Linked DNA regions of Canis lupus familiaris. The protein of the gene in region 2 purifies or fractionates together with the protein of the main gene of each other region. This does not show direct contact. Links are inferred from orthologs where the notes say so. Each region holds a gene or a part of one and is shown on either strand. Other genes may lie near its edges.

The links. The genes of interacting proteins can lie anywhere in the genome.
Region 1: the proteins of PAG1 (region 2) and FYN purify together in Homo sapiens (co-immunoprecipitation; 3 studies listed by BioGRID and IntAct, with this or other methods). This does not show direct contact. The link is inferred for Canis lupus familiaris from reciprocal best matches to the Homo sapiens genes PAG1 and FYN.

What each region holds. Positions count from the first base shown.
Region 1 is NC_049233.1:68,719,603-68,723,673, forward strand, and holds the start of FYN (tyrosine-protein kinase Fyn), read right to left. Parts: upstream 2,804-4,071; 5' UTR 2,438-2,803; intron 1-2,437. UniProt on the Homo sapiens protein: Non-receptor tyrosine-protein kinase that plays a role in many biological processes including regulation of cell growth and survival, cell adhesion, integrin-mediated signaling, cytoskeletal remodeling, cell motility, immune response and axon guidance.
Region 2 is NC_049250.1:28,910,262-28,914,505, forward strand, and holds the start of PAG1 (phosphoprotein associated with glycosphingolipid-enriched microdomains 1), read right to left. Parts: upstream 2,810-4,244; 5' UTR 2,688-2,809; intron 1-2,687. UniProt on the Homo sapiens protein: Negatively regulates TCR (T-cell antigen receptor)-mediated signaling in T-cells and FCER1 (high affinity immunoglobulin epsilon receptor)-mediated signaling in mast cells.

The DNA of each region.
Region 1 (4,071 bases), on a different chromosome or scaffold from region 2:
CCAGGTGCCTGGCACATACCAAAGACCTAATTTACATTTATTGATATAGGATAAGTAAGTCCAGCTTCCTTCTCTCAATGTGCTGACCGACTAATGATGGGAACAGAGACATGCCAAACGTAATGCCTACTGCTGAAGTCTGAAAACAAAATTGGAGGCGTGGTGATTTGTTTGGAGGGGAGGATGGAAAAAGCATCAGACTTTTGAGCTGAGCCCGAAAGGTTAAATAGAACCCAAGAAAATCAGATGGGATTGGAGAGTCCAGACCCAGTACAAAGCATAGAGTAAATACAGAAAGCAGAGTGTGCATTTGTTCACATTCAACCTTATCATTAAGTCTCTTTAGCTTGGTCAACACAGTGTGAGCTTATTGTGCACTGACTTTCCTTCCTGGGTCTGGCATCAAACAAACAACCCTTTGTTTTTACAGTACACTCATTAACCCTATTGCTTTTTTTTTTTTAATATAAAAAGGTCCACGATGAATGTCCTTAGAAAGTGGAGAAGTAAATGTTTAGTGAATCATAACTCTTTTCTGATAAAATTCTTGAAGCACAAACTTGAAACGGATTCCTTACAATAGTCAAGGAGCCATGTTCTTAGGAATCAATGGGGTTCAAACTAAGTTTTCACATTATCGATTAAGCATGTAATGGTCACCGGCTTACAAAATGGAACATTAAGCCTCTAGATTTACATTAACATTTCCTCTTTGAGAGGAACACCAAACAGATGGTTCAAAGTTCCTTCACAAGATTCTCTACATCCTTTGCTCTCATTTAAGTGTGCCCAAACATGAGATAGTTAACAAACCACTTCCTCCAAAAGCCTTTGAGTCCCTACATCTGCAAGCACAGTACCCATGGGATCAGGACTCAGGAGAAAGAGCACAAAGGGTGGAAAGTATTGCCATCGCTTGGGTGGTGAGAGGAAGGATGTGGGTGTCTGAAGGCTACTCTGAAGCAGGGAAGAGGCACGGTCTCCAGTGGTCTTCCAAATACCAACTTAGGCCATGTTTTTTTGATGTCCCCAGAAACTTGTTTAAATATAAGGCCAACACAACACCACTGGGCAGACGAAATTTCATTTCAAGACTTCAGCATTTCTTAAGACTTCAGAGAAGAAGTCTGGCTGCCTCGCTCTTACTAAACGCCAATTATCTGATGCAGAAGCAAAATTCTTCTGCCCCCACACCCATGTTTTGCACCCCAGCTCTTGAGTACCTATCCCCCGAAGAGAGGAGGTTAAAACAAGGCAGAGGAGGGCTACCTTGACAGTGAAGCAACTCTGGAGACGGCTGGCATCATTTCCCCCTTAAATCTAAGGAACACTGCAGCTGCCAGTCAACAGCACTGGGTCCATGAATGTGGCAAAATGACAGCACCTGCCACCCTGCAGCATCTGGGGCCTTTTATTTATTTATTTATTCTGGTCAATGTGGCAGGAAAGACTCTCGGAGAGAAAATCAACTGCTTTATCTGAGAGAAAGGGAAGCCCTAGTGAAGAGAAATAAGAATCATCGTGCCCATCCTTGGGTACTTTGTGCGTCTCCTCTCTGTGCACTGAAAGGGCTCTTTGTGTCACACACACACACACACACACACACACACACACACCCGGCGAGTCTGTGTGATTTATTAAGGGGAGGAGGGGCAAGAAGGGTGATTTTTATTATCCCTCTTCTCACGGAGTCCCAGCAAATCTCCGCCTGGGCCCAGCCTCGGTGGCCTCTTTCTGGCCGGGTCCCCTCCGCCTGTGGCCGCAGAGATAAGAGCGGCGGAGGCGACCAGACAAAAAACAGTCCTCGATGTGGGGAAGTGGAGAGGAAGCCCAGCGGGCAGGGATGGGAGGAGAAGGGAGCCTGGGGGAGCAGAAGGGGTGGGGAGGCAGAGGAAGGAGGCCGAGGGCTCCAGCACGGGGGCCGGGGGAGGCTGGGTGGGTGGTGGCACAGGAAGAGTGAAGGGGAGGATGGGGGAAGTGCTAGGGAGGTGCCAGAAATAGGCAGGAGGATGCGCTGAGGACGGCGACGGCCGCGGGAGGAGGCCGAGGGGGAGTGGGGCAGGGGTGGGGTGCGCTGGGGAGGGGAGCAGCACGGGGCATCAATTATTAAGTGATTACATCATCCCTGACATTAGGACAACACACACACACACACACGCGCGCGCGCGCGCGCGCACACGCACAGCCGGGTCCCCGCGGGGGCCCCCGAAAGGAGGGCGAGGGTGGAGCCCGGGCCGGCCTCGCCCCCCGCGCATCCCCGCGCCCCCCGGGCCGCGCCCCGCAGAGGCGTCCCCCGCTCCGCTCCGCTCCGCGCCGGCCCGGAGCCCGGCAGCCCCGCGGGGCGCCCCGGAGGCGGCGGCGGCGGCGGCGGCGAGACTGCAGCGCCGGGCGGGGGCGGGCGTCTCCGCAGCATCCCCCGCCCCCCGCGGCCGCTTACCTGCGCGGCGCTCAGGCTCCGGAGCCCATGCACATGGTCCTCCCCGCCCTCCTCCGGCGCGGCCGAGGCGGCTCGGCGGGCCCGGGAGCCGGGGGCCTCCCGAGGGCGCCGAGGGGGCGGCGCCGCGTGTGCCCGGGCCGGCGGCCGGATCCCTCTCGCCGGCTTTGTGCGCGGCGGGCGCTGCCGGGGCGCGGGGGCTGCAGCGCCGCGCGTGCTCCTCCGTCCCGGGGCAGCCCGCCTCTGCCTTCGCGGGCGGCCTCCGCTCACGGCGCCCCCTCCTCCTCCCGCGCGGCAGCCCCCTCCCCGCCGCTCGGCTCCTGACAGATGGCGCAACTGCAGGGACGCGCCGCCGCCGCCGCGGCTGCTCGCAGCTACTCGCGCGGATGCTCCGGCCCCTCCAGCCCCAGCCCCGGAGTGAGGACGGGGCGGGACGCGCGCGGAGACTGGCAGGCCGCGCCGGCCTATCGCAGCACGCGTGCGGAGCTGCGGCCGGCGGCCATTGGTGCCCGCGGCGCGGGGGGCGGGGCCGCCGCGGCGGGGGCGGGGCCGCGGCGGGGGCGGGGCCGCCGAGTGGGCGGGGCGTTACTGTGGCAGCAGGCGTCCTGGCGCGCGTGCCGAGTGGGCTGCGAGAGGGGATGCGAGGCTGGAGGAGTTGTGTGTGCTCCGGGGGATCGCGTGGACTCGCGAGGTCGTGGGCTCGGGCGGGGGAAGGAGGGGACAGTGCGAGCTGCAGCTCCTGCTTTGCGGGAGGTTGCAGCTGCCACTGCAGAAAGGCATCTGCCATCCCACCCCCCCCCACCCCCCGCACCCAAAACCAGGGGAACCTGCCTGGAGAAAGGGCTCTCTTGCCCTTCTGCTGCCTTTTCATTTGAAGGTGGGAGGGTAAACTGGGAAAGGGTTAGGTGGTGAGGATGTTGCCGCTCATCACACTGGGGAGTGTGGAGCAAGGTAAGATCCAATCCCAGGAACTCCGAAAGACCCGGAGAACCCTGGAAACGCACAGTTAATATCAATAATAATAAAGAGAAGGAGGAGATTAAGATTAATCTATTACTCTTGCATTTCCGTGGACGCACACATTTATTTTCAAGCAAAAGCCTGGAAGAAGTAGTATTGAAATAGGGGGAGGGGTGGAGAGGGCAGGTGGCGACTTAGGAATCTGAAATCACAGAGTAGAGATTTGTTTGTATAGTTTTTTTCCCCCCAAAACCATGTATAATTGTAGCTGTTGGTTGTCTTTGGTTTCTCGTGACATTTCGCTACTCATGGTTCCCCCCCCTCCCCTTCACCAAATCTCAGCTTTTGCTCAGATTTTCCTTGATGAACTAATAGCCGGTTAAGTATACAGTTCGGAGTGCATCAGTCTTTATTTCCTATCCAGCTTTTCTATGGCAGGATGTAACTTCATAAAAAGAAACACGTTGGCTTCCTGATTTTCTTTATAGGTAATTCCTGTTTACTGAAAATTCTCCTTTAAGGCATGCTCAGAGTCATTCTCCTTAGTGCTTTTGGCAAGAACCCTACCCTTCCCCCTCAGCAAATCTAATGTTCTGAGAAATAGAAGTGAATTAGCTTCTGATTCTATGCTCAAAATCTATATTACCTTTCCTGCCCACTAGTTTTTTAACCAGAAT
Region 2 (4,244 bases):
GGTTGTTCTCCAGCTGGGACTGAATTCATGCTCAGGTATGATGCTCTTTGTGGATGGAGATGACAGCTGCCTGTGCTGGTTTTCTAGGCCATGTGGGTCACTGCAGCCACATCTGCAGGCAGGAAACAAACCAGAGAGCACCGTCCTCCAATGTGAACTGTCACATATCACTTTTACCCCCTTGATTCTCTGAATATATGAACAGGGAAGTAAAAAGCAATGGCATCCACTTGAAAGTAAAGGAGAAAATGTACTTCACCCCCTTGCACATCTACCTTGTGCTAGGCCAAGCAAGTTATTTAATAATAATTATGGTAATAATAATAACTCCCAGTCTTGGAGAACTATGTTGTGAGTCCTGGTAAGCACTTTGCATACTTTAATGCTTAACTTGAATTTCCTTATCTGTAAACTGAAGATAATAATACACATATCTTATTACTATGAGGATTAAAGGAGAATAGATGGAAAAAGTACTTTGCAAGTTGAAGCAGCAAGGTCAAAAGGGAGAGGATTTGAAAGAAACCAGTTAAAATCCCAACTCGATCTGATCTCACTGAGCTTCAGTTCCTCATCACCCAAGTGGAGAGGAAACCACCCACCCCAGTGAAGAATTGAGGGAGACAGTAAATTAAATAGCAGCTGGTGTGCATCACTAGAAAGTGTTTAATAAATGTTCATATTCTCTCTTCTGTTATACATGTGACCTGCTTCCATTAACCTCCATCAGCAAGCAGCCGTCCAATGTCCCTGTTATCCAAAGATGCATTTCCCTTTCATAGTAATGATGATTTTATCAGTCTAACGTGCCAGACACTGGCTCAACAGCTTTACAGCTATGAACTCACTTAATCCTCATCATAATCCCGTGAGGTACGTACTACTGTCATCCCCCATTTTATAGATGAAGACACTGAGGCAGGAGTTTAGCTAATTTGCCCAGATTAAAAACAGATGGTAAGCAAGTCAGGCGCTGAGCTGTCTGTCTACCCTCCTAACCATAAGGCAACAGTGCTGATGGGGGTGAGTCTGTTCGACATTCCATGCTTGGATCTATTCTCTTCTAGACATAAGCAATGGACGCTCTCACAAACCACAATGTGTTGACTAACTTTTCAGCCTCTGGAATAACATTTTAATATTTTTCTAGAATTCTTCAAAAACCTATGATTTGTTTTTAAATGCAGGGCCTATAACTAGCTCATCTTGTTCTATGTGTTGGAATGCCATAAATAAAAGCACTTCTCTTTCTCAAGATTGCCTAGATAAATCTTACATTAAGACACATCCCTGAGTTTGGTTTAAACATTTATTATAAATCCAAATTTAAACAAATATATATGTATATATACCTTCACACACATATAGGATGTGTGTTTAATGCTGTTAAACATTAACAGCTTAATGCTGTTTCATTAAACTAATGACTCTGATAGCAAATAACCTGAAAATTCTCATTTCGAATCTTCAGTCTTAAGTCATAGCAATACCATATTTATTTCAAAGTGTTCTTTTTACGAATTTAATTGACTCAAATATTAAATAAACATCAATGATGATAATGTATTGCTCTACTTAATGGGAATCTCTAGGGGACAGATGAAAAAGAAAGGTTCTAGAATTCTATCCTTCAAAGCAGGACAGGACAGCTACCCATAAATCATACTCTTTTTTTATTAAGATAATTAAGCCCACCAGTAGTACACTTAACTTTCAGACTCAACAAATGTCTGGGATGAACAATTCCCACTTTTTCTAAAACAAAGAGGATGTGTTCAAAAAGGGTCCTCTGCAAGCTCTCTGCACAATGCACGCTATTTTAAAACATGATTTATGTGTCTAATTCCTGGAGCTGCCTTGAAAAATATACTGGGTTCTTCCTCGCATGCTACCTACTAGGAGAAGACACTCCAATTTGAAGAGTGCCCTCTGTTTCAGACTACAAGAACGCTATATCATGTCAGCATTTTCATTAAATACTGTTCAAGCTGGACCTTAAACAAATGGAAGGGAGAGCCACAGCTGCAGCCACTGCAGAGACGGTTATCCCGCCGGGAGGCTTATATAAGAGGCGCAGGGCCGGCAGGGTGAAACCCAAGTGTCATCATCCAAATCCTATTTCTTTGAGACTTGCCCACATTCTTGAAATGTACGAAATCACAGACGATGGACGGATTTCTCATTTTATTTGCCTGATGGCACAAAACGCCGTGTTGACTTAACAACTTGTTTTCTCCCTAAACGCCTGGGCTCCAATGAGGGAGACGCTGGCAACTTCTGCCTACGGGAAGAGCGGAGTGGGATGCGCGCGAAGCCCCAAGGACTGGCTGGCTGCCGTCCCCAAAGACCCATCGCGTCCAGGGGTCACTCCCCCGAGGGCTCAGGAGAGAGGTAACGCGACCCCGCACGCTCCCTCCACCGCCAAACGCGGTCCAGGAGCTCGGAACGTGCAGTCAGCGGCAGGCGAAGCGCCCTGGGAGCACCTGTCCTCCCGCAGCACGTTTCCAACCCGCACACTCGTCCTCTCCCCGCGCGCCGGGTCCGCTTCTCCGCACCCCGACCTCCCCGAGCCCGAGCGCGGCCCCTAACACACGGGGGCCACCCCCAGCTTCATGCAAAAACGATCATGCCAACGCACCTCCCCTCCGCACGGCTCCCTGCAACTTCAGAAACTACAGTCAACTTACCGGGACGCGGAGACCGGGAGCCCTCCGGGGTGGGGCGGGGGGACCGCGCTCGGCTGCGCGCAACCCCGCTGGCCCCGCACCGCCCGGGCGGCTGCACGGCTGCTCGGCTGCTCGGCTGCACGGCTGCTCGGCTGCACGGCTGCACGGCTGCACGGCTGCTCGGCTGCTCGGCTGCACGGCTGCTCGGCTGCACGGCTGCTCGGCTGCTCGGCTGCACGGCTGCTCGGCTGCACGGCTGCTTGGCTGCTCGGCTGCTCGGCTGCACGGCTAGGCGCCGCCGCTCTGCACCAGCCGCCTCGCTCCGCCGCGCCCGGGGCCGGGGGCACTGGCCAGGGCGCGGCGGCTGCGGCGGCACCGGCCGCGCGGACCCGGAGCTGCAGAGCTGCAGGCGCCGCCGACCCCGGAGCGCGGCGCTCCGAGCCCCCGGCGCGTGTCTCCGGCTCCGAGCGAACGGCCGCTCGGCGAGGACCGCGGCACCGGGAGAGCCGAGGCGCCGTGCCCCGCAGAGCCTCCGGGGGGCTCCCGGGCGGCCGGTCACATCGCGCGCGCAGCACCGCAGTCCGCACTCGCCGCCGCGCCGCGGAGAATGACAGGCGCCGAGGCGGAGCAGCCGTGCGGGGCGCGGGGCGCCAGTGCGCATGATCCCGGCCGGCTGCGGCACGTCACGGGGGAGGGGGAGGGCGGGGAGGGAGGGGAGGGAGGGGAGGGCGGGAGGGAGGGAGGGGAGGGCGGGGAGGGGGCGCGCTGGGCGGGGCCGGGGCGGGGGCGGGGGGGGGCCTGGCGCCGCGCCCCGCTCCGCTCCCTAGCGGGGAGGCGCAGGAAGTCTCCGCCTCGGGGTTCTGCGAGCCCTGGAGCCGCGAGGTTGAACTTGTCTGCAGAGTCCATTGTCCTTGACCCCCCACCCCGCCCCGTGTGCTCTCAGGGGTCCCCAGGGCGCTGGGCAAGCCCCGAAGAGCCACGTTAGCTCAGGTATAGCTTAATCGTGAGGGCCTGCCACTGAGGGGACAGGGGTCCTCCCCACCTGGCTGTACATTACAGAATGACTTGGGAAGCTGGTGGGAGCCCTTTGCCCTGACCGCACCCCTGGAGTCCAGACTTAAGTACCGGAGAATCCCTGGGTGAGGCTCGGGTATCAGTAAGGTTGTAAAGCTTTCCAGATGATACCGGGGTACAAACAGCAGAGGTTTTTCAAAGCTGTAGCGTTTGTCAGAATCTTCTGAGCATTTTGAAAGAATGCAGATTTCTGACTCACTAGGCCTAGGCGTTAAGGGAAGATCCTTCATTCCTAACACGATCCCAGTTGATGCCAGTGCTGTGCTCTAGCACCGGACCACCTTATCCTTACTACCCTTAAGTATAGTGTAGGATCTGGAGCAGAGCTTCTGAAAGGTTGGGCTGTGTGAGAATCACCTGAGTAATGTTTTTGTTGGTTATTGTTTTTTAATTGCAGAGCACATTCTCAGGCCCTCCCCATGTGGTTCAGCCTCTGGGGCTCTGCTAATTCTGATGGGTCTGACGATGGGTGGTGTTTGAACAAACCTGGTGATAGTAGGCCAG